Daphnia pulex: one gene and its partners. The protein of the gene in region 3 purifies or fractionates together with the protein of the main gene of each other region. This does not show direct contact. Links are inferred from orthologs where the notes say so. Each region holds a gene or a part of one and is shown on either strand. Other genes may lie near its edges. The genes, in order: homeobox protein B-H2-like, uncharacterized protein LOC124190543, chromodomain-helicase-DNA-binding protein Mi-2 homolog, histone deacetylase 1-like and chromatin assembly factor 1 p55 subunit.

Region 1 (6,577 bases), on a different chromosome or scaffold from region 3:
AAATCTGGTAGAATTGAACATTTTAGTTTGATTTTGGAGAAATAAATTGATCAACTTCGAATTTCATTTTTACCTTCCATAGAGGAATCCGATTCGCTGTCGCCCGGTTACACGCCAGTAATGAAGAAATTGTTCGACTAGGTTTGGATTTTCAAAGACAACGTTGTCAACGTGTCTGTAAGCCTGTAGGATTTGAAACAAAGATTAATATGGTTTACATGTTGGAGCGGCAAATGGAATATTACTTGACTGTTCAGAGTAATGGCTTTCGGTTGGCATTTAGAGCACACACCTTTGGGCCATGGCGGATGACCAGTGCAACCAGGTTTAATCCGACAACTTATGTTATCCAAATTAGCATATTTTCCTCCGTCTAACCCACTAGACAGTTTCCGTAAGTAAGCGTGAAACGACATATGTTTGACGTTCAGCTCCTTTAGGTACGAAGCGTCGTATGGTTCCAATGGTAGACAATGAATGCAAGACGAATTTTCTCCATGGAGACAACTATCATTAAAAATAAATGCTGTTATTTTTCATGTCGGATGAATATCGGTTATTTTATAATACACCGCTTTTTACTATAATCCTTACATATTAGCCACAATGTCTCTGCATAATTTAGATTACATTATATTAGACTATTGCTTATTCTAAGGAAGCTTTCAAATAAAATTAGAACACAACTGATTACAATATTAGTCCAATACGTGCACTGTAAAAACTCACTTTTTGGGATCACGTTTTCTCTTGACAGTTCCATCCATTTTCTGTAGAATTACATCAACTTGATCTTCCTCTACATTAGATCGAATAGGTATTTTGGATCCATGCATGCTACTAGTTGATGGAAGGAAGGTTGTCGATGAAGCAGTGCTCACTCCATTTTTTACTTTAAGCACAGAAGCATCCTGTTCACCGTGCTGAACTGCACCAGCAATAGGTGACAAGTATATCATATCACCATGCTGAAGCCCATAACTTGCCATAGTCTTTGCATTCGATGAAACAATTTCTTGAGATTTATCACGTTTGCAGTACAAGGCAAAAGAATAACCTATATTTCCAAAGGTATTGAGGACCTAAGAAAAAAATTACAAAATTATTTGTGGGTTTTGCATTGTATTAATTATGGGGTCAATTCTTCTATACCTTTTCAAACAGTTCCCTGGTTACGGTGACATTGTCAACATCCACACGCCGAGTACCTTCTGGAGATTGAACTCTCAACATCTATAGGAAATATTTGTTGCAATTAATATGGTTCTATATTTTGAAAAATTTCATCATATCACGTATGAAAACGTCCCATGTAAAGACAATAGGCAACAATAAAAACGAACGTTTCAAGATAAAGCAAAATTTATGAGCATTCCAAAAAAATGTGATATTGATAACAAATAACAAACGTATACCATCTTCAGTTTTTTAATATAATTTGGTAACTGCGGACCGATAAGTTCAGGTTGATTGTCCAGAAGATTTAACGACAAAAGACCGCAGCGGATGTTTTCGTTTACTCGATCAAATCAACTTTCAGTCAACTTTGAGTACTCGATACGTTCTGTTATGTGAAACGTCGTTGAGTACGAACGCTAGATGGCGAAAGAAATTTCACAATTTTGAAAAAAATTAAATAAAAAAGAATTTTCAAAAATTGTAATCTTTCGTTAATCAAGTTTTATTTACATTTAAAATCATTTCAAATTAAACAAAATGTTCTTTGTTTATTATATATTAGGCACCTTATAACATTGGTTGAAGTCTACGGAAACTCGAAGAAAAAGAAGTGATAAAACGAACCAAATAATTCATAAATTTGAGTACGCAATTAAACTAAAGCTAATAGAAAGTTTATATCTCGCAGATTTATACTTCATCACACTACCCACTTGAAGGATTACTTTGTATACTGATAACTAGCTATGTATAGGTATCCGATTAATTATATAAAGACTTGATTCAAGATAAGTAAAACGATTGGGAAACACGTTTCTTGTTCACTTCTCTCAAGACAGATACAAACACACATACACTCGAGGATACCAGAATGTCAGCCTGCAATCCCGCATTTTCATCACCATGCCAAATGAGACAGTCATGTCCGTTGTCTTGACGTAAGTTTAATAGATCACGAGAAACAAAGAGGGAAGTAAAGACACATGGAAATTATAGGAAAACGGGGTGGGGGAAAATTCATGTCAGGAGGGTAGGGTTGTGCTGATGATCAGATCTGCAACAAGAGAAGGTGCACTCGCCAGATGAAGTTTTGAAAAAATCACGAGTCAGTGCATCTAAACAACAGTATAGAGGATGAAAAGCAGTACATGGCCAAATTTGCCTTTCAGGAGGAGGGGGGAGGGTTATATGTCATAATATTCCACATGCAACATTTGAGCGTTCCAGCATCCGGCCCATCACAGAGAATATGTGCTGATGAGTCCCTTCTGTGTCACTGCAGTTCTACGCTTTGCTACCTCTCTAATAATAAGAAACAAAAGATAACATCGCTGCATTTGTCCTATATCAAATATGGATTTGTCGTGGTTGTTGGGTGTCTTTTTAGCTTGAGTTCATAAGGCAAATCAGGGCGCACGTAACGACAGTCGTACCCTGCCTGGAGTGTGATGAACCACGATGGAAAATCGAGACAAAATTTCTTACTGGTTCACTAAACTGAATGAAGCAAAGACGATCGTGAGATCTCGAACAGCCTCCCTTTTTGTTTTTAGTTAATCGTTAGTGATTTGACATACGCATGGAACCAGTTCGCTTATTAAATCGAAAGTCAACAGAGAAATGGGGAGAGGTGAATATTCATAACGAGACCGCAAGAAATATTGAAAATAATTATTAATAATAAAGAAAAAAAAAGAACGTCTTGGCTCAGGCAAGTCAGCTGCTGCCGGCGGATGCAAATGCCCATCAGAGCGGAGTTGACAACACAAAGACACATTTTGAGGGGGATGTCTACTTGCTCAAGATTTCCAATTTTGACGACCATCGCCATGACCCTGGCTTTGGCCCTGTGACGAGCGGGAGCCGGCACTGCTGGCGGCGGCAGCGGCCATGTTGGGCAGGTGTGGGAGCATGTCCAGCAGATATTGCCGTTGCAGTTCGGCCAAACTGGCGGCGGTAAAGGCAGCGGCGCTATTGTCTCGACTGCTGTTTCCGCTGCCTCCAGCTCCTCCGGATCCACCACCGCCGCTATTGCCTCTGCCCTGAGCTGCTGCTTGAGCAGCCGAAGCGGCCATGGCCAGCTGATAAGGGTACAGCAGTGAAGAGAAGGGATTCATGAGAGGGTTGTGAGCGTGACTCGACATGGACGCCGATCCCGAAGGCAATCCCATGCCTCTCAGCAGCTGGGCTTGCAGAGCATTTTGCATTGCAGACATTTGGTGACCAAAGAGCTTGGTCGGGTCGGGCATTTTCGAGAAATCGAAGCTAGCCGATGCGGCGGCGGCGGCAGCAGCGGCCGCCGCTGCGTTCGCCTGTCTCTCCTTTTCACGTTCGCGGTTCTCGTTTCGTTCACGCTCCCGTTCTCTTTCCCTTTCACGATCCCTTTCTCTCTCGCGTTCCCTTTCACGATGTTCACGAATTTCTCGTTCCCTTTCACGCTCCCTCTCGCGCTCTCTGTCGCGCTCTCGCTCCATTCGATCCTTGCCAACGGCTATGCTCAAGCTCACGGCCGAGTGTGATCCGACTAATGGGCTGTGAGCGGGAGCTGGCGTTCCACTGTTGATGGACTTTGTGGAGAAGGGGATAATTTGAGTAGAGGCCGGTAGCGAGTCATACGCTTTGGAATGGACGCTGGCGCTGGCGTGGGACGGAGCTGGCATCGGATGATGTGGAGGAATAGGCGGACTGATGTTGCCACCTTGCGCCAGACGTTGTTCGATTTCCTGCTCCTGCTGCAAAGCTCGCACGAAAGCAGTCTTCAGTCGGTTCGTGTGCTCCGCTTTCAGGGCCTTTTTGACGTTGTTGGTCACACACTGATCACACATCACTGCTGGTTTCTCTACTATTAAACAAGAAATCCATTAGCCATCACTCGGTCGGTCGTATGACAAACAATCAATTAGCCTTACGTGTTGCGGCTTTGTCCCATTTCCACAGCGACGAAAAGTCTGTGCCGCACTGGGAGCAGATGAACGGGATGGGCGGAGTTGGATGGTCTGCACCCTGAGTTAGTCGATCGACGACGGCCTCCAAGCCCAACAAGTAGATGAATTCGGTATTGTTCGGGTTGGGGATGAAATGCATTTCAGGTGGAGGAGGTTTAGGTGGTGGGATCTGTCAATACAACGTGAATTTAATTTTGACTTAATTAAGGCATGGCCAAGAAATGAAATACCTGAAGTAAAGTTTTCTCCAATTGCTTCCTTAAAGCTAATTTGGCGGCTGCTTGTCTTTGGGCAGCTGTCTGAGGATCTTCAACTTGCCGGGAGCTAGAAGCACTTGTGTGATGATGGAGACCGAGCGTGCTGGACGAGCCAGACTGGGCAACATTGGGCGACGAGGTGCTTGTTCGCATGTGGTCGCGTTTGTCATGCCCCTGGATGCTTGGAGACGAAGGCGATGGAGCACCAGAGCCGATAGCTAGTCCCATCACTACATTCGGGGGTGTCGTAATAGGTGCTCTGCTGTGCGCCAAAAGTCCTATTGAAGAATGCACATTAAGAATTGGTAAATTCAATTGAATTATCCTGAATGATTTACCAGCCGATCCTCTCAGCAATTGTTGCTGGTGTTGCTGAAGTTGCTGATGCTGCATTAACGGCGATAAAACGTTACTATTGGAATTGCGATGTCCCTGTTGCTGTTGTTGATGAAGTAAATTCATGGCCATGTTGGCAACATTGGTCGAATGGCGTGATGAATTTTGCGAGTTTGAACTATTTCGGGAAGACGGCGACGAGCTCATGTGGTTGTTGTTGTTTTTACTGCTCGATTTCACGTGCTGTCCCCCATGGTGGTGATGAAGCTGCTGCTGCTGCTGCTGTTGTTGCTGCTGCTGCTGCTGAGGTGACGAAATCGATAAGTGGGCAGGATGAGGCTGCTTCGTACTGGTAGCTGGTGGTCCTTTTAAAAAACAACGTTACAGATCCAGCAGGCAAAATGATTATTGAGTGCGAAAAAACCTGTTTTGACGTCGTGAGAGTTTGAGGCAACTGTCAAATTTGTCTGTTGTTGTTGTTGCTGTTGTTGCTGCTGCTGATGGAGCTGTTGCTGCTGCTGCTGTTGTTGTTGTTGCTGTTGTTGTTGGGCAGCTAAAAGCTGAGTTTGTCGAATCTTTTTGAGCAGTACCAATCGCATCTCTTCTGTCCTCAACTCGGCTTGCAGCCTTTGTATAAGTAGTTGATTCTCTAACCGTTCCGTCTCGGTCATTTCCTGCAAATAACAAACCGACATGAAAGATGAATGATCCAACATTAGAAAAAAAAGGAAAGAAATGTTTACCTTTCTAACCGGAGAGGGAGGCATGGGTAAATCTTCCAGATTTTCACCCTGGGCATCATCACTTAGATCATCCGCTTCATCATCGGGTAGTTCATCGTTGATTTCCATATCGCTGGCACTGCCGTAACCATTGCTGTAGCCGTTGACGCGTCCTTCTTCAGAGTTTTTAATCGTGTAGACAACTTGGTTGTTATCCGGGCGTATCGAGAGTGGGCGGAACGACCGCCGGTTCGATGAACGCGATCCATCCTTCAGGTGAACCACTTCAATTTCATCTTTGATCGGCCGATCCATTTCCTTATTGGCGTCACGCTCTTTAGGCTTTTCGATTCGCGTTACCTAGAAGATAAAAGAAATAAAGAGAAATGAGCATACGTTGTCGTGTTGTCTTGACGCTGTTTTGACGGGAGACCAATTGAGATTTGTCTAACCTGAATTTCATCTTTTGGCCAGGGATTTTTGCTAGTCGGTGTGACTCCTCCAGATCGATGGTGAAGTGGAATGAAAGGGGATTGCATATGAGCCTGAACAGGTAGAGGACTCAAAGCGCTGCGGCCAACGCCGTTACCGTTGCCACTGAATCCAGCCCCTCCGTGAGCAGGTGTTGGATTGATACCAGCCAGAGCGCTGAAATGGCTGCGATGGACGGACAAGTCCTGGGGGAGGTCAGCCAAATCAAACTTGAACGGCTGTTGTTCACGGTGTTGATTCATCGCCTCTGCCGGTTTCCTACTATGATAATCAGCAGTTATGGCCATTTTGTCCATTTGCATTTCATAATAATAAAAAAATTTACCTGACGGAAAGGTCGACAACCGGTGAATCTTCTTCTGCTTCCATGGTTTTTGCTTGTTTTGTTTTTATCACGCTAGACTTGTTTTTCTGCAATTAAAAAAGCAAAAGAGAGAAATAAGTAATCTAAACACATCCACAAACAAGTTGTATGGGGGGGAAAGGGGGTCACGAACGAATGGAGCGCACCGAGACCAAGATGGCGTGAAAGACAAGGGTAGTAGTCCCTTGTTTCCCGAATCACGAATTGCCCAACGTCACTTGCGGCCGGGATGATGGAAACGTGTCAATGAAATGAAACCCAGGACGGTTTGACGTGGAGAAA
Region 2 (5,146 bases), on a different chromosome or scaffold from region 3:
CTTTGATGTGTTTGGTATCTATAGTGTTTTTTATTTGAACAGGTTTGGCAGATGACTCCTTCATCGTCGAAGCCCCGTCGTTTGTCGTCCCGTACCTGATAGAGAAATCGGCTTCTCAGAATTTGAAAAAGACAGTCCAATCAATGGATCCCCATCCCGCTTCTGAAAAGAAAGAAGACGTCGTAGTTCTGAGCGAAGAAGATTCGAACGATTCGGAAAAGAAAGAGAAAGATGACGTCAAATCTACTAGTGCAACAGCTACGTTAGGAGCAACTCCGCTCGATAAGTCGTCGATGAAATCGGAAATGGAAAAATCAATAAGGCTGAAGAAGGAAGAAGATGAATATTTTTCAGGGCCAATCGGGCGCTTTTTTCTTGATATTGGACTGTCACTAGTTCAGGAATATGTTCAAGGAGATCTCCTCCGAGTCCAGAAGAGGAAAGTCCACAAGGGAACAAAGATAACTGACCCCAGCCTGTCCGTAAACGCCTTGACCAAAGGTAAAATATCCTACTACACCATTCAATCGTATGTGATATAATATTCTGTATGTGATTTTGTTATAGGGCTTGATGTTACTCGCGCTAAAAATGATCCTTATCGATTGCCTTGGCGCTCTTGCAACCAGTGCAGTTTCAAGAGCGAATCATCATTAATGATGGCTCACCACAAGAGCCTTCCTTTAGCCCTTGGATCTGGGTCATCGGCACGATATGGATGCCATTGGTGTTCGTTCGAAGCCAAAGAATCACATTTGGTATCGTTGCACATCGAAACAGATCACGGTGTGAAGACGCGGACAGGACCTGATCTGCCGTCGCACCAGTGCCCACTTTGTCCATTTGAAGATAACGTCAAGTCCAAAGTAACACGTCATATGATGAGCTGCCAGAAAAGATTCGTCGCCGACCGCAATCTAGAACCTCCACTAGACTGGGAACCACCAGCTAAAATACCGAGGATGCCCACGCGTTACATGCGAGCGTACACTCCTGGCATGAATGCGGGAACAGGGTTGCATGGCTACTCTCTTACGTCGACCAAAGGACTAAATCTGCCTTACCACCCACTTCTACCCAAATCGGCCTTGATGAATTCTCTGGGATATAACAGTGGTTTGTCGTCAACCGGAACCGGTAATATATTGTCGATCCATTACTCTCTTGACAAGTGTTGCTCCCTACTGCGAATCAGTGTTTTTTATTCGCGGTTGTCTAAAAATCTTTTTTTTTTTATTCCTAGGTCAAAACACTTACTTGGGCAATATGGCTGCAGCAGTTCAAGGCAAAGGAGGCAAGGGAGGCAGCCCTTCACAGGCAGCTCTTGCTGGTTTGCGTTTGCCGGCTGAATTGCATGTTGTATCCGGTGCATCTCAACGTGTTTCAGGAACGCCATCAGGGTCAACACCTCAACCTAAGGGGCGTGACTATCGTCAGCAGGCCTCTAATCAGTCGTCTTCTTATTTAAATCCTTCCTCGTATGGTGTTCCCAACAATCAAATTTATCAGGTAATGGTTTATCTTCAATTTTCCCAATTATCATCAATTTCATAGACGTCTATTTCTTTTTTGCAGGCTATTGCCAAGTCCTTTCAACTGTTACAAGGACATGGGTCTTCAATGTCGGTCTTACCGTCAAATGTGTCCAAGAATCAGTCGGCAGGTGCTAGCGCAATTGATAAGTTGAAGAAAAATACCAGCTCCATTAGTTTACTGCCTGGCTTAGTGAACACGAGCGGATTGACAATTCAAAGCTCAACTACTCCCACGACCAATAAGGCCAAGACCAACCAGCAGCCAAGCATCTCCATTACTCCTCTGCCACGTACGAGCACGTCGACACTTTCAAACAAACCCTCTCTATCCGTCAGCCCGGTCACTCCTGCGGCCACGAATGCAATGGCGGCAATTGGTAACAATACCTTGGCAGCAAAAGCTGGACAACCGGCAACACCAGGGCAGAAAGGGGCGGTTGTCTGTGAAATATGTGACAGTTCCATTAAGGTTAGAAATATTTTTTTTTTTTTATTTTTTTTACGGTTTCTCTAATTTACCGAACATCTGAATTAGGATTTGGAGCAATTGCGTCATCATATGCAGTGGATTCATAAAGTGAAGATTCACCCCAAAATGATTCACAATCGACCGCCGCTGAACTGCCAGAAATGCCAGTGTCGTTTTTTTACAGACCAAGGCCTTGAGAGACATTTGTTGGGATCCCATGGGTTGGTTACATCATCCATGCAGGAAGCGGCCAACCGAGGACAAGATGGTGGTCGTTGCCCCATATGCGGAAAGGTACTGAGTTACACCTTTCATAGGACCTTTGCAACCTAGGTGTAAGTTGTTTTATAATTTCAATTGAATATTTTTTTTTTAAATATTAGGTTCATCAGTGGAAACTGCTCAGTCACGTGGTGAAGGATCACGGTCTGAGTTTGAAACCTGCTCATCTCTCGTACAAGTGTACGGTTTGCACAGCCACCTTCACTATGTACAAACTGTTTGAGAACCATGTGTATACAGCTCATTCGGTGGTAGCTAGAAAAGTTCTGGACAAGGACAAGGCAGACACCAAGAAAGGAAGTTCGGGCTCGACCAATACCAGCACAACTGGGGCCTTGAGAATCAATGACGAGATCACCATCATACCACAAACGACTCGTCACGATTCATCTGATCAGAATGTGTGCCGGCCCTCCAGGGGCGAGAAAAGGAGTCGGGTTGACATCATTGACTTGTCTGATGACGAACAAGACAACAAAGACGGTCTAACTCTTCCCAAATCCCAAGTGACGATTACGAAAGTGCCCGCCCCTAAAGGCTACCTAAGCAGAAATAGTAGAGAGTCCATGTCCAAGCGCAGCAGGACGGACGACAACGATACCGAGTGAATTATTTTTTTTTTTTGGAGGGAGCTTTCGTTTCAAATGTGCTCCCTAGCATCTTTTCCCTTCCCTACAATTTCGTTTGAGGCAATCCAATTGAACATTGGATGGTATGAATGTGAAGCGAATATTCTTATGAAACAAAATTCAGAAACAATACAGGATTATTTACTTTTACACATTTGGATTAGTGTTTACCATGTCGTGTCTGGAAAAAAAAACTGAGCCATGTTTAGGTGCATTACGAACATAAAAGATGTTGATACTCGAGATCATGTTCTCAGCCCGCCATGTCTTGATATCGCAAATCTGCCAGCCCCCCTCTACTTTTCTTTCTTTATTTCCCGGAAAATTTAAAATACGTTTAGTTTTCGCTGTTGACTAATTGTTATTTGTTTCTTTTACCAAACCATCCGCTCCCAACACCTCCTTCAATTAAGAAAGTTTATTCTGTATATTTTCTTCCCTACTCAAACCCTGGTTATTCGCCGTTCACACCGATACCTCTTTTTATTTCCTTTCCACTCCATCTCACGAGGAATGTCTAAATGGTCATATCGACATGACCACGTTTTCATGTCGCCATCTGTTAAAAATATAACAATAATAAACTGCGTTTAGTACCTCCATACAGAATTGGGCTACCATCATTGATTTGTAATGTTTTAACTGGAAAAATTGTTTATTGACGGATAAAGACATCCTCATTTGTAGAAAGAAACATAACATAAGAAAACAACTGAACTGTATAATTGGCTTACAAGTCTGACAGCTCGGAAGGGAGCATACCATTATGATCTCGGATGTTTTGGTTTGCGTGAAGTTGTTCCAAAAATCGAATGCACTCATCGTGGCCACAAGCGAAAGCATAATGCAAGGGGGTTTGTCCATCACCGTCTGTAACGTTCACGTCCGCACCTTTCTTCGCGAGCAGATTGATCATTGACGTATCGCCTCTATCCGCCGCCCAATGAATCAATGCCATTTCGTTTTCGTCCCGTTGATCTATAAGTGATGGATTTACACTTAACATGGATGAAACGTGTTCGATTTTTCCCTCTTTCAACCAATCAAAAATTGTCTTGTCACTGTCGTCCAGCTCTTGATCCATTTTGGCCATACAGCTGACTGTTACTCCGAAAGCTGATGTTTTTTTAACACTTGACGTTCCTTTCTTATGGTTCGATGCCAAACTATCCACTAGTTCGATATACTGGGATTTGGCATCATTGAGGCTGGTGGTTCCAAGAGCATTCCACGCTTCCCATTTCTGACGTGCTGTGTAGTTAAATATTCCTGGTTTGGAAATATTACATGTTCCTAGCGTTGCTTGTTTGTATAGTCCATAGAGCCGCAGCATGGTGGTTGTATCAATGTTCACAAATTCCTTCACTGTCTCTGAAGCTTCACTGAAAGCAGAATCCAGATCCATTATTGATTCCATATTGCAGAACTGGAACAACTAGGAAGCACGATGAATTTCGAAGAGTTGTATAGTATTATCCTGAGTGAGTTCAGCGACATCAACAACTGAGCTTGAAATAATGCTTGCCACTTCAAGAGTCTTGCAGCATAATTTCCACTTTGACAAGTAAGGTTCAAAACTCCAATCTGAACTCCTTTCCTTGTAGGAGCACACAAAACTTGCAGATGGATTCTTTTCCAGCAGATAGGATACAGTCATGAGAATTGGTTCAAAAACAGTTGGGTCATAGAAGCAGTCTGAACTTATGATGAGGTCAACTGGTTCAAGTTTTAAAAGTTGTGGTTCAAATGTACCCCATGTGAGTCCAATTATTTTTACCTTTCAAATAATAAATAAAATATTACTAAAAATTAAAATTTGTCTCACATTTATAAAAGCAATACATTGAAGGGATAAATTATTTTTACCTTATCGCCCACACCATTAGTTACAGCACTTGTTCTACAGTTTTCTAAACATTTAGTGAAGCGAGAACAATCACTTAGTGTAACATTAGCTCCACATTTAGCAGCAACCACTCCTGGAAGTGAAGTTCCAGCACCCAATTCAATTACGTGCTTCCCGATTAATTCAGGTCTCTGACTCCATAAATACCATGCTAGGACTGGAGCACAGGGCCACGTATACATGCCATAGCTTGCATGAAGTTGCTATGTGTAAGTTGAAAATCGTACAGTTTATTGAAATTCAATTTTTAAAAAACCAAACTCACCTCAGGTATAATAACGGCTAAGGTTTCAGCTGGATTATCAGGACACGAGAAAAAGAAATG
Region 3 (6,448 bases):
TCGATAGATCATGACCTAAATACAAAACAAAATAATGAAATGACATTTTTAAACTAAAGAACTATTATCAGTACCTTGTTGGCTTGTCCAATACGATGGGCTCGTGAAAAAGCCTGAATATCGTTGTGGGGATTCCAATCGGAATCGTAGATTACGACAGTATCAGCCGTCGCCAAGTTAATACCCAGACCACCTGCTCGTGTGGACAGCAAAAACACAAACTGCGGGGCTCCGGGAGCATTGAAGCGATCGATGGCATCCTGACGCAAAGTACCGGTAATTCCACCATCAATGCGCTCATATTTGTACTGCTCTCCCTCTAGAAAGTCTTCTAAAATGTCCAACATTTTTGTCATCTGTGAGAAAATGAGGACACGATGCCCCTGTTCTTTCAATACTCGAAGCATTTTTGAGAGCAAGACAAGCTTTCCTGAGGCTTTCACCAAAGCGGTGGTCTCGTACATGCCATTTTGTAAACAAGGTGCTTCTTGAGATGCAACTGGGAAAAGGTATGGATGGTTGCAACACTTCTTCAAGTCCATCATAATGTTGAGCAACGAGACTTGTTGACCGCCAGATCGGGAATTGAGGGCTTCAAAGTTACGTGTCAGAACATACTTGTAGTACTTCTTCTGCATAGGCGACAATTCAACTCGAACGATGAATTCGGATTTCGTTGGCATGTTCTTCAAGACGTCGGCTTTAAGACGACGCAACATGTGCGGGCCGAGCATATCGTGCAGGCGTTTCACTTGCTCTTCCTTTGCTAGATCAGCAAACTCGTTTGTGAAGGCCAACAGATCGTTAAATTTATCTGGGCACAGAAAATTGAGCAAGTGAAACAACTCCTCTAAATTGTTTTGCAACGGCGTTCCAGTCAGAAGAAGTTTGTAGCGAAGATTATAGCTGTTGAGGATGCGGAAAAATTTGGACTGATTGTTTTTCAAGCGATGAGCTTCGTCGACGACTAAAACAGCCCATTCGATTGAGTTCAAGAGAGCAGCGTCGATCGATACCAATTCGTAGCTGGTCAAAAGAACATGGAACTTGACGGAATTCGTCCGAATTTTGCAAGCTTTGTTGCCTCCCCGGACGGCACCTTCTTCAAACGAAAGTTCGTGCTCGCGAATGACAACTCGTGAGTCTTTGTCTCCAACGTAAGTTACGACGTAAAAGTCGGGGGCCCATGTTTCAAATTCTCGTTCCCAATTGATGATGGTCGACAGAGGTACTGCTACCAAAAAAGGTCCACGACAGTGTCCTTCCTTGTACAAAGAATAAAGAAACGTGATGGTCTGAATAGTTTTTCCCAGACCCATTTCATCGGCAAGAATCGTATCGGTGCCTTGGCCCCACGAGTAGCGCAACCAGTTCAATCCTTCCATCTGGTAAGGGTGCAATGCCATTCCTGATGCATCAATATATTCAGGTTGGCGTTCCCATTTCCGGCTTAAGTTGCTAATTGGCTTCTCAGGTGGAGGATTATAACGGCGTGGTGTTTCACGTTCTTCCTCAGCGGCTACCTCCTTGGATTTGCCTTTCTTGTGAGATTTCCCTTTACTTTTTTTCTTCGCCGGAGTATCCACTCCACAGGCAACTCGCAGGTCAAAGTACTCTTCGATTCCTCGTTTAAGGCCAGGGATTTCGACTTCGGTACCTTCCTCTTCCCAGGAAGCCATATCGTAGTTTAATTCTCTCCATTTAACAAGATAAAGCGTACGATTGTCACGAAGCGTACGGTGATTAATAACGCGATGGACGACCAACCATTCCGGTCGGATTCCGTAACGATAAAATCGGTTATCCAAGTCCATTTCTTCGAAACCTTCAATTCTCTTCTTTTGCCATTTTCGAGATGAGTTGACCACTTCTTTCTCTCCTTCAGGCTTCTCTTTCTCTTTTTCCTTCTCTTTCCCTTTCCTTCCTTTCTGAGCTGCTGCTGCTTCTTCTTCAGCTTCAAGAGCTTCGTCTAGGTCCACTTCTTCGCAGTCCAATTTCGGTGGTTCTTCCATGTCAACTTTTCTGATGTAGTAACGATACATGGCTCCATGAAACACCTCCAACTGAAGCTCGGCAATCCACGAACAGTGCCAGTAAGATTTTTCATGCCATTTGACGAAAAATTCGCGTAGACGAGGTGGGATCTTGCGAGTTTTAGCGTCAGGTGCTTCTTCTTTTTCTTTTACCGGTTCCTCCTTGGTTTCAACCCAACGCCAGGTAAGAATCTTGCTCACCTTGTATGGCAAAGTCTTTGCGGAGCAACGAGGACACTTCCAATCACCATCAGGAATTTCCGACAATGGTGGATTGAGGCAAAATGTGTGATAAGCAGAAGTGCAGGAGTCACAACACAGTAGCTCACCACCATCTTTACAAATGCGACAGAACTCGCTGTGTTCGTCATCATCCGCTGCGTTCCTGCCAGCTTTTTCAGTGATAGTAGCAGCCGTAATACCTAGACAAATTCAAATGTTAATAATCAACTTTGGCAATATATTTTTTCAGCTATTAGTTGTTTTACCTTCTCCTTCGCAGTGTGGGCATGACCACCTGCCTTCTGGAGCTTCTTCCAATTCGGGGTCGAAACATACTAAATGGTAAGCTCTCGGGCAAGTGTCACACAAGATGATTTCTCCTCCTTGTTGGCAGACTTCGCAATAATCTTGATGATCTGTTTCGTAGCCATCACCCTCTTCGGATGGAAATTTGGCCGTTGTCCTAGTCTTTTTCTTCTTCTTGTTTTTGTCGCCGATTTTCGTTTTAGCTTTCTTACGTGGAACTGCTGGAGCTGCAACTTTAGAATGGAGTAATGAAGACAACTATTGAAGAATAAAATAAAATATGAATCTTACCTTTAGATTCTTCCACAACCTTAGAAGCCTCTTCAGCTTCTTTCAACATTTGTTCGAATTCTGCGTCGGAGTCTTTTTCATCTGCACTCACATCATCTGAGCTAGTTCTCTTGCGCTTGCCCAGCTTAATTTTGATGGTGGGAACTTTGCCTTTTTTGCCAGCACTTGTGTTTCCACCTTTAGTCGGCTTTCTACTACGCTTTTTACGTCCTTTCTCAGCGAATTCATCGTCATCATCTTCATCATCATCAGGTAGTTCGGGCTCTTCTCGGCCCGACGCTGCACTGCGAGAGCTACGCAATGGCCGACTCGAGCTAGCTTCAACAGCTTCTTCTTCTGCAGGTGTATCATTGCCTTCAGGAATAGTAGCTGAAAATTCTCTCCATTTTGCTGCAACAAGCATCATTAGCTTTGACATGGGGACCTAAGCAACAAGAAGAGATTTATAAATATACTGAAAAACAATGAGAAACAAAAACATACTTTTGGGTTTTCTTTTTGCAGCAATGGCCGAACATGTTGCTGGAAAAGTTTGTAATTGTTAAGATTTTGAAACTCGGCATTTTCATAATCAATCTCCACATCAGTCAGACCAAAAGTTGAACAGACTTCCTCAACACTCGGCATCCCAGAATCTGCAGTTGCTGCACTTTGAGTAGGTGCTGCTTTTGAAGCTTTAGTTTTCTTTTTGGAAACTGGCTCATCCACAGGCTGTTCTTCTTCTGCTTCACTGGGTTCAGCACTTTCGACTTTCTTCTTCTTTTTCTTCTTTTTGCTCTTCTTATCTTCATTGCGGGACTTGTGCTTTTTGGATTTTTTCTTCTTTTTTCCACCACCAGTGTCTGGGTCAAAGTCATCATCATCATCTTTTTCGAGGCCATCAGAATCCATCATGGACTGATCTTCGTCTTCATAACCACCTCCTTTGATAATCTCGTCTTCTTCGCCTTCTCCACCATCACTGTCTTCACCTGCAAAATGACGTGAAGCCATATTCACAACCGGCTCTTTCAAGTCTTAACACTCGGTTTCAATCGCTTGATCGATTCGGCAAGTCAAAACACAACGAAACTTCACAATAGTCAAATCAAAATTTCTCTCTTAATACTTATGAAAAACATATAAAACGACTTCCATCGAATCGTACAACGAACTCCCCTAAGCGGCGTTTCGCATGTGAAGACGAAGAATGGCTTACAAAGGCCAGTGCACCCCAAAACGAAGCCCTCCCTCCCTCCTCTAATTTTTGTTCTTTTTATATTTTTTTACAAACGATCGATTTCAAAATCTGACAAAAAGCTAAACATTTAAATTTATGAAATATGGTTTTTACCTGCTTTATGAGCTGATTCTGGATCGAAAGAGGCCATGGAGTGGTATATTTCAATAAAATTTCTTCAGATGATCAAGTTAAAAAAATAAAGTGGAAAAAACTCGAGCGGTGTACCAGAATCACAAAACAAGCAGCAGCACTCTCCGCACCGTTTGGGGGCAAATCTACTACTAGCGCCACGATGCGCTGAGCGGTAACGTTCTAAACTTGAAGGCACCTCCAGTTCCGGTGGGGAGATTGGGGTGGGACTGGAGAGAATATCGTTGCTTAGCAACCTTTTCAACTAATAATAATTTTTTCTTCATTTTCTTTTAACGCATCAAGGGATTTTGCATGTCTCGTTGTAGTTGCGGGTAACGTCAAAACGCTTCGAATGTGACGACAGATTTTCGCAAAAAAGAGCAGAAATGGCTGGACCAGGTGCGCTCAAAAACACTGTGAGGTACGTTAATCGGTTCCGACGACTCTATAAATCAGATTCTTGCATAAATTTACCGCATTGCATCTGAGCCGTATATTTGCATTTCCTCATTCTCTATCGTCCAAATTGTCTGTAAAGGGAACGAGAATTTCAAACCGAAACCTCGAAATCGGGTCGATCGATCAAAAGGAATCACGTCACCCCTGCTGAAAGAGAAGGTTCGTATACTCTATCGTGAGATGATGAGATACCTTATTCCCCCCTCTCTTCGTCCAAAGACTTCCATCTCTGGCTACGTTTTGACAAGCCCTATATGCAAAGGTTGGAATGGAAGGTTCTGGAATTTCGATCGTGGGTTGTTGATAGAGGACGAAGACGAACGAGAAAAGAAAAAGATTAGATAGAAACATTTTTGTTTTTGTCTTTAAATCGCTTTAAATAAAATAACGCTTTTACTTCTTTGATGAGATTTTATAGGATACGTCGGTCGGAGACCGAGAGCCAATCGGTGTTCATGCCAACGGCTTCCGCCCGTCCCAAAAAGAAATGATCCTGTACCAGCTCCCTATCCTCCTTCCCACGACAACTACATCGATTATAACGCTAAACATGTGGATCCAATTCACTGTCACGAGCCTAAGCTACAGATAGTTGATTCCAAAGATGGGCACGTTATGGATCTGGAGAAATCAGGACTTGTTCCACACTACACTACAAAATCGGTTTTAAGTGAAATAAAATTAGGAATCCGAAAACAATTAATCTGATATTCCCCTTACCTTGAGTAGACTTTCGGACGAGTACCAAACTATCTCAAATTCGGCCAAACCCAGTCGCAGCACGGAGATTCGTCAAAGGATGTCCAATCACGATCGGAAACGACGAAAGAGCGCCCTAAAGCGGCTACGCGAGTCGTCAACAAGGACATTGAGGTCAGACAGATGAATTCGGTTCGTGATTTCTCACTGCAATTTCTAACGCGTCCAATTGACGCTACGTACTATTATTACACAGAAGCTTCAGCAGCGGTGGATCGAGCTCGAGAAGCGTTTAGGATTGATCAGTTTCTCCCGACCGGATAAACGCGAGGCAATCGAGGACGAGTTGCGGAGCATTGAATTGAATCTTCGCATGGCTGTCTCCGGTTAACCGTAGTTCCGAAGTTTATATTGATACAGCTTGAGTTGCTGGCACAACACGAGAAATATCTTCCTCTTCTAGTAGCACTTGACCACCTGTACATTCTGTTAATGGCGTGTTATTAGCTAAGAATCAAAGGAGTAAACACAAAATCTGATTGAATAAAAGAAATGGCATAGAATCTTTTATTAGACCAAATTTGGGGTTTCTTTAAAAAAAACTTTTTCGCCGGATTGAAAAATGACATTGATTTGCGGGAAAAAACTGTCAACACTTTTTTTCAGACTGAAGAGGGAAAAGAAAGTTAGTTTAGGGTAGCAAAAACAATAGAACGGGGGGGGGGGGTCAAGACAACGTAGAATTCGTGTGACATGAAGCTTTGGACAGAGAATTTGGAAGAGACAGGTGCGCACGGCACGAGGGGGGAAAAACAGATGAAATAACGTAAACAATTTTGACAAAACGAATTGAAAGCAAAAACTCTACGAGTCGTTCACTCAACATGTCTAGAAAAATGGCAGACTGCACTAAAAACAAGAAAGACAGAAAAAACGATCGAACAAAGAGAAGAAGAAAGAGGGAACACAACTGAGATGGACTGGTCCGTGAGACGCGACCCGTAGTGCTTTTTCTTGTTTACACATAAGAACAAAAAAATGTTCTTGACATTTCGATTCACGTTAACCACGACATGGACACTTT
Region 4 (6,388 bases), on a different chromosome or scaffold from region 3:
AGATTGGATTAAGTACTGGAGAAATCGGATGAACGAACTTGACCTAGAAGAGGAAATCAAAACTCAGGAAACCACGCGGTTTAAACGCAACAAACACGAAAGCAATTCATATAACACGTTCACATACATTACTTTCCGTTCAGTTGGACTTTTAATCACCACTTTAAAAACCACTTTTTACGAAACCGACGAACTTAAAAATTATCACAATATAATTTGCAAATTAATAACTGGGAGCCGTGACTGAAACAATAACGAAGCACTAGAGGTACCACCAGTTGCCTTAACTTATCGGTTATCCATATCGATGAAACCTTTAGAATTATTTTTTTATATTATTGAGGCCTATAAAAACATAATGATTTAAGAAATAAGATAACTAGATAACAATACTAGTGACTAGTACTGTAACCTAACATATGTAATCTAACCTATGTAACCTAACACCAGAATAGTAAAATTTATCATAGTTTTGAAATTAAAATATGCACTATCCCAATTCAAGTATTTAATATTTATTAACTTCAACCTTAATCCTAGTAAAACCTCAAACTTTTCCTACGGTATTCCAACGTTCCACCAACTAGGTTGGGCTTACTGATCGCTGATTCTCCCTACAAAATCATTCTTAAAAATAAACGCTTCTTGCCTATTAAAGCTTCTGTTACGCTACATGTTGTTGAATCAGTATTCCAGTTTTAAAGTATGCACTCAACATAAGTGAAGTGCGTATCTTAGGATGTAGAAAAAAGACCAAACTAAAATGAAAAACTTAGTAAAAATGTATTGAAGACTGAGAACCCGATTGAGGGTATGCAGTTGGTGATAGGAGCCGGAGTTTACATTCTAATTAAGATACACGTAGAAAATTGGATGTGAATGAATCTCGAAGAATCACCATCAGTGTAAAATTAGCGAAAATGAAATAAAACCCTAATTGGTATTTTCAAACTTTTTCTCCTTTACTGCTATCGGCGCAAACCGGAACAGGGGAGCTTAATTCATGCGATGTAGATTTATCTTCTTCGGGTTCTGAAAATACATATAATTGGTAAGAAATCTGAGATAACCACGATTACGTGAACACTAACCTTTTATTTCATTCGCCATGGACAAAGCACTACCTTCACTAGAAGATTCACCACTAGACTTCAGTGTTGTCTCATTTTTCTTGTCCGAATCCTTTACAGTCTCTTTTGAAGTACCTTCCTTATTCTCGCCATTCACTTCTTTGTCCTCCTTTTCTTCCTTTTTGACCTCTGCAGCACCCTCAGCTGTTTCGGTTCTTGGTCTTTTGCGATTTGCTCCTTTAAATGATCTATATAGTAGAGAATAATGATTGAAAAAATGAAAAATTGCACGATTTATTAATGAATTCAGACCTTTGATCTCGGCGGGAATCCCCTTCATCTTCGGAATCACTGTATTCATTGTCTGGTGCAATCCTTTTATCTGATGCTCGTATAGATATACGTTCATCGGGATTAGATTTATCTTCTTCGTCGGAATCTTCGTTAATGGCATCCTCGGGAATTGCTGTCAGAATAATTTTGGATCAGTTAAACGCAATGCAATGAAATAATAAATACAATTGAAGAATTAAATTTAATGCAAGTACCTTGCATTTGGACTCCAGGAGCATGAGGTAACATGCGGAGGTTTTCGAAAAGACGAGTTCTAAGAAAAACATGTCACTCAACATATAATTCTTTGAATAAAACACTAAAAACTTACTTGATTTTATCTAAATATTCCGGAGTATTTTGATTTGCCATGTTAGACGGACTAATGTGCAATTTAAAATCGGGACCAAAATATTCAAAATAATCGTTGTAAGGGAGTTCATTTGCAATGTCATTTCCCAGTGCCACTGCGGTCTCGTAAGTCCAACAACGGGCAACATTTCGAATAGTGTAACCACCACCTCCAAGCAGCAGTAAAGGCAGATTATGTTTCTTAACAAAATCAACACATTTTGCGTGACCTAAAGACAACTTGATAATAACATGTATACTAAAAACAATAGTTCCGAACACATACCTTTCAAAGTAAGATTAAAGCATCCCAAACGATCACCAGACAAACTATCGGCACCGCATTGGAGAACCACTGCACTCGGCTGATAAGTTTCCATCACTTTTGACATGATAGGTACGAAGATTTGCTCATAGCTTTCATCATCTATTCCATCTCTCAGGGGGAAATTTACGGCATAATATTTTCCTTTGCCTGCACCAATGTCCTACAACAAAAGGATAAATAACAGTTTCTTATTCAAAATTTAGTTCAAAACTTCTTACTCTGAGATCTCCAGTTCCAGGAAAATATTCTCCATATTTGTGAAATGAAACAGTCATTACACGATCAGTAGTGTAAAAGGCTTCTTCCACTCCATCACCATGATGAATATCAATGTCAATATACAAAACACGTTGGTGGTATTTCAGAAGCTCTAAAATTGCCAACACTATGTCATTTACCTAAAATATGGAAAGAGATGAACATTAGTTAGTAAGTTATATCCAAAAACTGTTATTAAGTTATTCATTTACATAGCAGAATCCTGATGCCTCAGACTTTTTGGCATGATGTAATCCCCCAGCCCAGTTCACAGCTATCTCAGTTGCTTGCTTGTTGAGCTTCACAGCTCCAGCTACAGAACCTCCAGCAGATAATTGACAAAATTCGTAGAGCCCATCAAAAACAGGACAGTCTTCACCCACATTAACTAAAAAACAAACAAATAAATTAATTCACAATTTCAAATTGATCAAATTGTAAACACATCTTACATCTCTGCATCTGTTTATTGTATTCTGTCATATTGTCAGGTCTGATGCTTCGAAGAAATCGAATGTAATCATCACTGTGGAACTTGGTCATTTCTTCAGCTGTGGCTTTGTGTGGTCGCTAACAAAAAATAAATTCAATTAAACTGTGGCAATTATCATCTAGCTTCTTGAATTTTTACATAGATTTCCATTTTACGGTATAGCCCATAATTCAAGAGCAAGTTGTGGGTCATGCGTATGCGATGAGGTTTCATGGGATGTCCCTTCAATTTCAAAAATTTATTATTAATTACAGTTTCATTAACATAAATGTGTTCAATATTATTACCTGTCCATAATAAAAATTCCCGATGTCACCTAGGTTAATAAAAAAAGGAATTACAAATTTAAGAGTTAAAATGAAAAGTCACCATAAAAATGCCAACCCACCCACCAAGTAGGACGTCAATTATACCCCCGACAACCTCATCGACAAATTTGACATGAAAATCTTAATAAAATTTTGAAGCAATTCAAAAATAAAACCCAATTTAAATGATAATATAGCCACATATCTTTCTTTTTTAATACTATGTGCTCTTCAGTCTTCAAACATCTATAATTCTTTGTGATACTACTGTGCATAAATGACGTCCCACTTGCCAAATATTGTTACTTCCACATAAATTTTGTACATCAAAATGTCACAATAGATAGGTATATAAATTTAGCAAAAATCAAGTATCTTTGGGAATTTATAAAATAAATAGAATATGACCACTGAAATAATTAATTTAAAAAAGGACGCCGGCAGTCAAACACGCGACATGAAACGTTAATTATACATGATACAATTATTTTTCTAACTTACTGTCATAATAGTAGCAAACTCGCTTTCTGCTGTGACTTGGTTGAGTAGTCATTTTCGAAATTGAAAATCACAATTCTTTATTAAAATTATTTTTACTTTTCGACAGTTACACTGAAAAGAAAAGACACCAGCATCAATTGCTTTCGCTGCGTCGAATGCGAATGCTTACATTTACAGTGTTGCCAAATCTACAAACTAACTACGATAGCCCAAAGCCTCAAACGCGAATTTGAGGAAACATATTTGCCAGCTCTCAAAAAATCTCGAATCTCCTTCGATTCGAGTCGAGTCCTTACAAAACTATAAAAATGATGATAATAAGTGGAGGCAGAGTAATGGATAATTATCTGTTGCCCTGGTGGAGGAGTCAAGGTAAAGTATCACGTCAAACTAATTGCAAGAAGCAATTTTTCCATGAATGTTGTTGATAGGATTGAATATGTAATAATCAGTTTTCAGAAGTCGGAACCCTTCTGGGAAACATAATGTTTAATAAATATATTGGAATTTGATTTTTTTGGAAAACCCACACGAAACAAGTGATTTTCAAAATGAAAAAATTACGCAGTTATATTTTTTAAATCTTATATTATCAATTTCCAAATACGAAGGTATTTGAAATAAACATATTCTAGTAAATAATAAATTTAGAAATTAGGGATTAGGTTAGGGACTAAGGAGTATGGAACTAGAAACCAGAGCCATTAAGCTGGAGATCTAACGATCTATCAACTCCGTTAGACGTTTTCAGAGATAAGGAGATGGGCTCGCCGGAAGGAGCAGCGCAGTCGAATTCGTCTTCCGAGAAGGGGCAGGGGGAAAAATGTCGAAATCTTCGTTTTGGTTTCTTTTCTAAATAAGATTTGAAAAAGCCACCAGTCTTAGGTTGCGCCAAGCGGACAAAAAATAAAAATAAAAATTTTTGGCTGATGTAGGCTATTACAGATGTTATTCTTTCCTGGTCGGTCTGAAAAGAGCTGAATCTCTTTCCAGTCATCGATGGACGGGAAGATATAAAAAAATCTAGAAGAAGAAGAGAAAGAGGCAGATGACAGTTTACTTTTAGTCGCTAGAGCCTAGATGCCAGTTTCAACGCGCGCAGTTAAAATTGGTGAAATTCGACCGACCCACCATCTACTGTCGAAAAAGTAATCGAAGCCATCTATTGGCGAAATTGGAACTAATCCTCCCGTATGCCAAAAAACCTGTAGGGGAGACCGGACCCCTCTTGGACAGTCGCGGTTTTTCCCGCATATCTCCCGATCCCCTTAGGCAAAAGAATTTTTTTTTGGCTAAGGTCATTTTTTAGCCTTGCCTCCACCCCCTTGATTTTTTTAAAATGTGTAACTTTAAAATTTAAGAATTTACATTGATTTCCATTTTTCGGTGTTTTTTACCGAGCCGGGGTGAAATTAGACAGGGGCCTGTACCAAGTTAGACGGGGTTCGAAAAGGTGGAAATTAATGTCTTTAAATTATTTTAAAAACCTTGTATGATAGTTCTTCCAATAATAAATAATTTAAAAACATTTGTTTAAAAATTTTTTTACTCAAACAAACTTGGAGCAAGATCAATAATTCGGGCGAAAAATTTTGCAATAATTTATCGTGTTTTTTCTTCCTCCTATAACTCCCGTTCTACTCTCGGGAAATTAATTAAACTACACAGGATCTAGCATCATCACATCTAGAACAATGTGAAATCTAGAATTTTAAAGCAATTTTTACTATATTTTAAGACACTGTCCAACTTGGAACAGTGTCCAACATGGGTCCGGTCTCCCCTACAGAATCCCTACGGGAAATTCGTCTGTTTGGCTGCGTCCTGGTAAGTGTTGTCCCCCTATACCCTAACCACGGGCCTGCTGAGACCAACCACGCACCTACTTCTGTCATGCTTCTGCTCCCCCAAAAAACCCGTCGCCCCAGCATCATACGGGCCTCATGGGACTACGCGTTTCTTTATTTTATTGTTGCATGAAAGACATTTGTATTGATTCAAAGTCAATCCGCTTTTGAATCAATTCCTACATTTCAGCGGTCATTTCAAGTCGTTTCCCCACCCCTTCGAATCCAAAACCGATCCAAGGGGAGGGTTCCCCTCTAGTCTTTGTTCGAAATCCCCTTGCGGTGGTTTTTCTCGACAAGGGGAAACGGATTTTGAAGGGGTCGGTTTGCCAGATGATGCCCAATTATTATGACTTATTTAATTTAAGTTATTGTAGAAAAAGGACAGATATTTGACTTAAGAAAAACAAGAAAATTAAAATCGTATCACTAAGAAGTGTTCTAGTAGAAGTTAACACACGCCCAAACAAAGAAAAAAATCTTTCCGTTACAGCGTAAGATGCAATGCTATCATTAAATTTCCAAAACAAGTTTTTTATATTTTGGAAGTAATCAAGAAAAGATTGTATATTGGCTTAGCTTCAAGAAACCGAGTGAGCTCAACCTTCTTTTTGTTGGAAAATAGAATTCCCCTTGCTATTTTACATTAACCCAGAATAAATATCAGTAGGGTCATCAGGGGTTGTTGCCTTAGTAGAATCAGAGACGTCTAAATATGTTAGATGGATTTCAATCTTGCTGATGATTTGTTTCTTCAGTTTGGTATCTTTTTCGCTTGTCCCTAACCAAATCAATTTAAATTTTGGGTGTAGTGAGCCGACAACTGAAAATTCTCTTGCCTAAGAAAGATGTCAAATCTTTTTTTCAATCTTTCTAACAAGGCATCAACTAATGGGAGT
Region 5 (6,171 bases), on a different chromosome or scaffold from region 3:
TCTTTGATCGTTAATTGCTCATTCCGTAAATTTTGACGCGTTTTGCTTCACTCTATACGATGGATGGACAGTCTTTCTGAACAACCGGAACCAGATTGCCCGCCTTAAAAGGCCCGTTGGTAAAGAACCTGGAGGTGACTGTATTCATGACGGTGTCTGATAGCGTTTTCTGCTTACCCAAAAGCCACAATTGCTCTGCATTGAATTATAGATTCAGAAAATTAGCCATTGAATTAATTATTATCAAATGAGGGGATTACCTCGCCGATATCCAGTGCAAAGGGGATCGCAACTCCAGGCTAGAGCATAATTAGTGTAGTCAGTAGCGATAATCCAGAATCGAATGTCCACGGTTGCTGCACGAGAAATTTTGTTTACAATTGATTAATCTAGAAATGCTTTATTAATAATTTCAGAATTTCTTTGTCTTACCGTTCCAACTGACGATAGGCATCTGAACTAGAAATTTGCTCAATTCTCCGTAGTCAAAGTAAGCATTGCCCGCTGCAATCGTAACAGCGTTGTCTCTGTCAAAAATGTTAAATAAGATATTTCGGTTGAACATCATTTTGGGATGCCAGTCTCAGTCGATTCTCAAAACTTACATATTGCTAATTCCTTTGAAACTCATCTTGAGAGCTCCCTGTTTGGACGGTCTGATGTCAATCAGCGAGCACCTGGTGTCGTCCTCGAAAGTTGACGGATACCGGCTGATCTCGTACCACCGAGTAGTAATAAACTAGCGCACGTAAAAATTGCGTAACGACCACAACACACGGTAGAAATTACAAAATTAATATTATACCTGAGCTGGATTAAAGCTGGGCTGCGTTGGGTATTTGGGACAATCACCGGGAATTACAATCTGGCCCAAAACGAAGGACGGTATTTCGACTGTCAGTACAGCAGCCAGCAGCATCAGCGCACTAAGGTTCTTTGCCATTGTGATGTTTGATGTTTTTGTCCTGGCGTGTGTTCTTCGGATGACAAACACCGGCGGTCTAATCCACAACGACGAGCTGCGCGTATCTTTTATACACTAAGACAAGAAATTCACGCCTTGCGCACCTTGTATAACGTGATAACAAAAAAGAACGCTCCTAGCACTGGGTTAGTAACCGATGTGCCAACAAAGAACCCCGCTGCTTGTTTTTTGGAGGGGAGGATAGAGAAGATACGAGTGTGGTGGTGGTAGACTCTCCTCAGTGGGGCGTAATTGTTTCACGCAGGTCAACTCTTCGAGACCCTACCCTTCTCGTTTCTTATAGCGCTGGATATAATCAATTCCAGCATGCTGAAGAAGAAGAAGAAAAATATTCCTGCTTCTCGAATGCTATCGAAAGGCACGATCGTCCAGCCACTTGCTTCACAGATTTTTCAACGTGCTGCTGCAATCCGTCTCGTTCTTTGTGGCCGCGTCACGCCCGCTTCGGAGGTCGAGCTGAGCTGTTATTGCTGCCTCCCCGCTGAGCGCGAAAGGTTGATTCGGCTGGAAATGGGCATCCATGAATGCCACATGCAGCTTTTTTGGGGAGGGAAAAAACGAAATTCGTGTTTATTATGATTCAACCTTGAAAGTGGAAATTAAACCCTGGGGTTAAGAGACCAAGTCCCAGTACAGCACCGCGAGCCGTACGTAACACCACGCGTCAACGCGCTCGATCAAGGTCCCGCAAGGCCAAAGATCGGGTAAACAGCTCTGTCGTGAGTTATTTTACTTGTATACCCCGATTGAAAATAAGCATCATCCATCTCTTTGATGTTGGCTTCCTCCAACCGAAAATGCATATCTCAACGATGGCCAGCGCTCTTTCGATTAGGTGATTAATGGATCTATTCAGTCAGGAAAGTGACTTGACAACCAGCACCGATAGGCCCAGCACCGACTTGAAACGCAATTTCCGTGTTAGAGACTAAAACCGAAATTAATTATACAATGTATTGTCTGGAAAATTCGGTAAATACCTTTATTAACAGTTAAGCAACCCGTGGCTTTTCAATGCGTAAAAATAATTTTATGATGAGGTTTCATTGAAACAAAAAAATACAAAATCGATTTTTTAAAATTGAAAATCAGAAGAGATTAACGATGCCGGTATTTTCAATGAATTTTATTTCAGTCGTTTGCGGATATTGGAAAAAAATATTGCGCGCCTTTGTTTTGGGCGTTTGGGTAACTGCCCTTGAAAAACCGATGCGTCACGTTTTTGCAAGGCATATTTCAACTGACAAAAAAGCGAAAAAAACAAACAAACAAAAACATTATGAAAATGTGGAATCGATTTTCACATTTCGCGATCCATAAACATAACAAATGTTGGCGTTTTCTCAATCCCAATACGGGGTCCAACCATCCAGACGGACCTTGGCCGAACACGGTGTTGAGGATGCTGCTGGAGTCTTCGTCATGCTCAACCTCAAGCGCTTTAATTGCGTTTTCAAGGTTGAATAATAAATAACATCGGTCCTCTACACTTATTCACGGGTAGGAGAGGAACTTTTTTACTGCCGCATGATGCCCACACCCAGCTGAAGACGATAGATGTTTACCTGCTGCTTGCTGGCGGGCCAGTGTGAGCCGAACAATGTTGATTCACGGTCAAGACGGATATGCTGTTGGCTTCTAAATCCAAACATCACAGATTAGAAATCCGAGTTCAAAGAAAACAGTCGAACATGTACAAATACAAAATCACGAATAATTAGAACAGTCGGGAATTAGGCAATTTACTGTTATTTAGCTTTCGAAATCTAATGATTGCGTCATAGGGTCAGGCGATCAAGAGTCGAATTTTGTTCTGAATAAGAGCGTCTTTCAACCATTTATTGAAATTTCATCACAACCCACTTAATGGACTGCAAATGGACTAGTAACCTAATTAACGGCAGTAATTAGAATAATTCAAATTGAACCAAATCGCGGAAAGCTATTTATTGAATACACAAACTTGGATCTCCAAGCGATGTAAGGGCCAAATTCGAAGATTTGAATGTTAAAAAAAAGATGAGCGTGTACGTGGGACAGTAAAGAATCAAACGATGAGAAATAGGGTATAGGGCGATACACTGGAAATGCATTAATTAGTAGGGGTTTCCAGTTCTGAGGCTGGCGTCTCAGGCTCCTCGTCGTTGTAAATATTTTCAGCCATTTGCCAAACTTGCATGATGTTATCCTCAGAGACGGAGCAGATGACCCAGGGCTCATTCGGGTTCCAGGAGAAATCAGAGATCTTGGCCGTATGACCACCGTGAATGAACTGTTGAGAATTCAATAATTAAACAGCATCCGAATCAAACAATCGCATCAATATTTCAACTTACCAACAATTCTGGAGGGCCATCTTCGGCATCTTCGGTGGATTGTTCTTCTCCAATTTTGGACAAGTCCCAGACATGCAAGCGTCGGTCGGTGCCAGACGAAGCCAAAATAGTCTCATTATGCGGTGACCATTGGACTTGAAAGATTTCATCCTTGTGCGACTCGAACGAATGTAATTTGAGTTTAAGATTTCTCAAATCCCAAAGAGCTACAGTCTAGAAATACAATTTGGAGACATGTTTAGTTGAGTAGAATAAATAGTAGATTTTAATATTAAATGAATACTTTGTCTGCAGATCCGGTAGCTAAAATAAATTCGGAGTAAGGATTGAATGACAGACAGTTCACTTCAGCCGTATGAGCATCCACGGTATGGGAGGGCCGGCTGGTGTTATTGCTGCGAGTATCCCAAATCATAAGCTTCTGATCATCGGCAACGGAACCAAACAAGGACTCGTGAAGCAAGTGCCAAGCGACATCTTCTACAACTGCTGTGTGGCCAGTGAATACGGTTTTGGCGTCGAGAACACGATTCTCTCTCGGCGATGCGTTAATATCCCACAAGCAAATGGTGTGGTCATCAGATGCTGACAGCAAGTGACCATTAAGGTTTGGATTCCAAGACAAACCGTAACCTTCCTTCTGGTGTCCTCTCAGACTAAAAAAAGATAATGTAGTTGTGAGTAACAAGTTTAGGTCATAAGAAATCATTTGAATAAAAAATGACTCACCGTAAATCAGGGTGGCACTCTCCACTAGGATCAGGGCGAGAAGGATGTTTTGTGTAGTCAAAGACCAAGACGTCAGATGAAGGTGTTTTAGTGGCAATCACACAAGGATTCTGGGGCATGTAGCGAGCCCTGTTGACTTCTCCTTCATGGTTGATCTTGATCTCAATTTCAATCTTACCACTCACTGATCCAAAGCCTCCAAACTCTGATAGAGATGAAGCATTAAAACAATAGTGCAACAGATTTGATCAAGTTAAATGACTACCTCCTTTATCATTGTCATAATGTGAAGCATCAAACTGAGCATCCTCATTAGGAAGCTGGACAGATGCAATCAAGAGGTGATTTTGTTCATCGCTAGTGTGAGTACCAAGGATGAGACGATGCACTGAGTAGTCTTTGCCTTCAGGCCTAACGGAGAAAAGAAACATTCAACAGTTAGAAAGAAACAATAAAACACCTTTGTTCTCAGTAATTTACCTTGTAACATCAGGAAGCCATTGAGCTGTAAGTGAAGGCCATTCCAGAGCATGTGTCATAACCAAATCATACAAAAATGGAGTATTTTTCTTCCAAATTTTGTATTCCTCGTTGATGACGCGTTCTTCCACTGCTTCATCAAAGGGCTCTAAAAAAGATTGGATTAAATTTCACTGTCATCCAATAACAAAGAATGATTTCAACAGATACCTCCATCTTTATCTGCCATCGTTAGTCAATCAAGTCCTTTACTAATGATGAACCGGCTGGAACCTGTCAAGCAATAGATTCGGTTAGCAGAGACTTTTGAGCGTGCTGCTTTGTTAAATGGCGGCAAAAACGAAAGCAATTCCAGTGGTGCCACTTTGGAAAAAGTCGAAACTACTTCAATAGTTTATTTTGCCGTTCATAGATGGCATGGTCATGTCTTTAAAGAAAAAAATCTTGAAAATAATAAAATTGTTGTCAAATTAAAAGAATTTGCCTACTTCAAAAGTCTGATTTAAAAATTAAATTTAATTAGTAATAATTAAAAACAATATTTAGGTAGGCCATGGGTGTTGAGAGATTTGTATGCCTGTGGGTAGGTCTAGGAAAAAATCTTCATGTAAGGCAGTGTAAGGCATAAAAACAGTTATATTGTTATAGGAATACAGTTATTTTTTCTAGAAAAAAATATTTGCTTTCAAAAATATATCAATGCTTAATTCCACAAAATTTTAATGGTTTTCCGATGCCCAATATGATTTTAACTTTTTCTCAAGCTTTTTCTGTTGCGCATAATTAATTTCATAGTGGTTTAGCGCTAGATGCCAAAACAATGGAAGGAAATTTGAAGGTGCTTCACCTTTGTTGTCAAGGTTAAAGTGATCTACCTGTTACAATGTAAAGGCGATTGGCGCTCTAGGAAATGGTTCACAGTAAATCATGAAGAAAGCCTCCTCCGGCCATCCGTTAAACAATGTAATATTTTCCGTCATCAGACAATCAAACCGATATTTGAACTAGAAGATAGCAAGACGAGTAAACCACTTCAAAATTCTCTTTCATTGCACAGTGTATTTTTTGCCATAAATTTAATTGAGTTCAGTATAGAAGTTGTACAGCGTTAATAGGATTATTTTTTACTGCGTCTAAGAAAAATTAATGATTTGAAAACACCGTCATTTCTTTCCATTCCTTCATAACGTATTTATTGGATTAAAATTTTCTGCTATCACAACATTCACTAAAGGCTAATAACGTAGTGCTTCAACCAAATGAAATATATATATATATATATTTCGCCGAGCATTACGTGTAGTATGAGGAGTATGAGGAATATGAGGAGTAATAATGGATGGAAATGCCGGTTGAGATATTATCATAACAATGGTCCAAAATTGAAGTCAACTTCTGTTCTCATTTCAAAAGAGATATTCCACAATTTAAGTTAGCTGTTGGCCTTCCGTTCATTTGAACAATAATTCATTGTAGATTCGATCGGACCCAATATATTCATCATCATCATTCATCCAGCATGGTACGATATAAGCTTTTGCACGAAAGACACCCATACACCATATTAACCACGTTAAAGCATCAGAGTTATGTTAAAAAAAGAAGAAACAAATATGGTTCAACCAAAAGTTGGATAAACAA

What was found.
Region 1: the proteins of chromodomain-helicase-DNA-binding protein Mi-2 homolog (region 3) and homeobox protein B-H2-like purify together in Drosophila melanogaster (affinity purification with western blotting; 5 studies listed by BioGRID, with this or other methods). This does not show direct contact. The link is inferred for Daphnia pulex from reciprocal best matches to the Drosophila melanogaster genes Mi-2 and simj.
Region 2: the proteins of chromodomain-helicase-DNA-binding protein Mi-2 homolog (region 3) and uncharacterized protein LOC124190543 purify together in Drosophila melanogaster (affinity purification with western blotting; 6 studies listed by BioGRID, with this or other methods). This does not show direct contact. The link is inferred for Daphnia pulex from reciprocal best matches to the Drosophila melanogaster genes Mi-2 and MEP-1.
Region 4: the proteins of chromodomain-helicase-DNA-binding protein Mi-2 homolog (region 3) and histone deacetylase 1-like purify together in Drosophila melanogaster (affinity purification with western blotting; 5 studies listed by BioGRID, with this or other methods). This does not show direct contact. The link is inferred for Daphnia pulex from reciprocal best matches to the Drosophila melanogaster genes Mi-2 and HDAC1.
Region 5: the proteins of chromodomain-helicase-DNA-binding protein Mi-2 homolog (region 3) and chromatin assembly factor 1 p55 subunit purify together in Drosophila melanogaster (affinity purification with western blotting; 4 studies listed by BioGRID, with this or other methods). This does not show direct contact. The link is inferred for Daphnia pulex from reciprocal best matches to the Drosophila melanogaster genes Mi-2 and Caf1-55.

Annotation. Positions count from the first base shown.
Region 1 is NC_060023.1:4,654,111-4,660,687, reverse strand, and holds the end of homeobox protein B-H2-like, read right to left. Parts: exon of another isoform or gene 6,442-6,577; intron 6,343-6,441; 5' UTR 6,301-6,342; coding exon 6,257-6,300; intron 6,193-6,256; coding exon 5,892-6,192; intron 5,800-5,891; coding exon 5,461-5,799; intron 5,392-5,460; coding exon 5,142-5,391; intron 5,083-5,141; coding exon 4,720-5,082; intron 4,660-4,719; coding exon 4,355-4,659; intron 4,294-4,354; coding exon 4,089-4,293; intron 4,022-4,088; coding exon 2,979-4,021; 3' UTR 1,979-2,978; downstream 1-1,978. Other genes in the region: nuclear protein localization protein 4 homolog, read right to left, coding at 1-4, 74-183, 246-507, 730-1,082, 1,153-1,233, 1,416-1,418.
Region 2 is NC_060019.1:8,037,131-8,042,276, forward strand, and holds the end of uncharacterized protein LOC124190543, read left to right. Parts: intron 1-42; coding exon 43-501; intron 502-567; coding exon 568-1,137; intron 1,138-1,243; coding exon 1,244-1,509; intron 1,510-1,575; coding exon 1,576-2,004; intron 2,005-2,070; coding exon 2,071-2,298; intron 2,299-2,387; coding exon 2,388-2,894; 3' UTR 2,895-3,517; downstream 3,518-5,146. Other genes in the region: acyl-CoA-binding domain-containing protein 6-like, read right to left, coding at 3,646-4,320; probable methyltransferase-like protein 23, read right to left, coding at 4,351-4,692, 4,782-5,024, 5,087-5,146.
Region 3 is NC_060018.1:5,938,333-5,944,780, reverse strand, and holds the start of chromodomain-helicase-DNA-binding protein Mi-2 homolog, read right to left. Parts: upstream 4,326-6,448; 5' UTR 4,223-4,325; coding exon 4,186-4,222; intron 4,063-4,185; exon of another isoform or gene 3,846-4,062; coding exon of another isoform or gene 3,824-3,845; coding exon 3,336-3,823; intron 3,277-3,335; coding exon 2,853-3,276; intron 2,795-2,852; coding exon 2,522-2,794; intron 2,456-2,521; coding exon 75-2,455; intron 16-74; coding exon 1-15. Other genes in the region: enkurin-like, read left to right, coding at 4,593-4,627, 4,745-4,824, 5,075-5,328, 5,395-5,556, 5,621-5,755. UniProt on the Drosophila melanogaster protein: ATP-dependent chromatin-remodeling factor which acts in nucleosome-remodeling by catalyzing ATP-dependent nucleosome mobilization. Involved in regulating transcription. Plays a vital role in development.
Region 4 is NC_060024.1:1,148,454-1,154,841, reverse strand, and holds histone deacetylase 1-like, read right to left. Parts: upstream 3,835-6,388; 5' UTR 3,695-3,834; coding exon 3,643-3,694; intron 3,150-3,642; coding exon 3,121-3,149; intron 3,056-3,120; coding exon 2,972-3,055; intron 2,911-2,971; coding exon 2,793-2,910; intron 2,729-2,792; coding exon 2,553-2,728; intron 2,481-2,552; coding exon 2,301-2,480; intron 2,243-2,300; coding exon 2,041-2,242; intron 1,985-2,040; coding exon 1,735-1,984; intron 1,678-1,734; coding exon 1,619-1,677; intron 1,537-1,618; coding exon 1,383-1,536; intron 1,319-1,382; coding exon 1,092-1,318; intron 1,033-1,091; coding exon 947-1,032; 3' UTR 765-946; downstream 1-764. UniProt on the Drosophila melanogaster protein: Catalyzes the deacetylation of lysine residues on the N-terminal part of the core histones (H2A, H2B, H3 and H4).
Region 5 is NC_060023.1:6,453,765-6,459,935, forward strand, and holds chromatin assembly factor 1 p55 subunit, read right to left. Parts: upstream 4,898-6,171; 5' UTR 4,760-4,897; coding exon 4,741-4,759; intron 4,679-4,740; coding exon 4,531-4,678; intron 4,462-4,530; coding exon 4,316-4,461; intron 4,256-4,315; coding exon 4,051-4,255; intron 3,978-4,050; coding exon 3,605-3,977; intron 3,535-3,604; coding exon 3,322-3,534; intron 3,258-3,321; coding exon 3,078-3,257; 3' UTR 2,918-3,077; downstream 1-2,917. Other genes in the region: apolipoprotein D-like, read right to left, coding at 53-195, 261-356, 433-527, 606-739, 806-943. UniProt on the Drosophila melanogaster protein: Core histone-binding subunit that may target chromatin assembly factors, chromatin remodeling factors and histone deacetylases to their histone substrates in a manner that is regulated by nucleosomal DNA.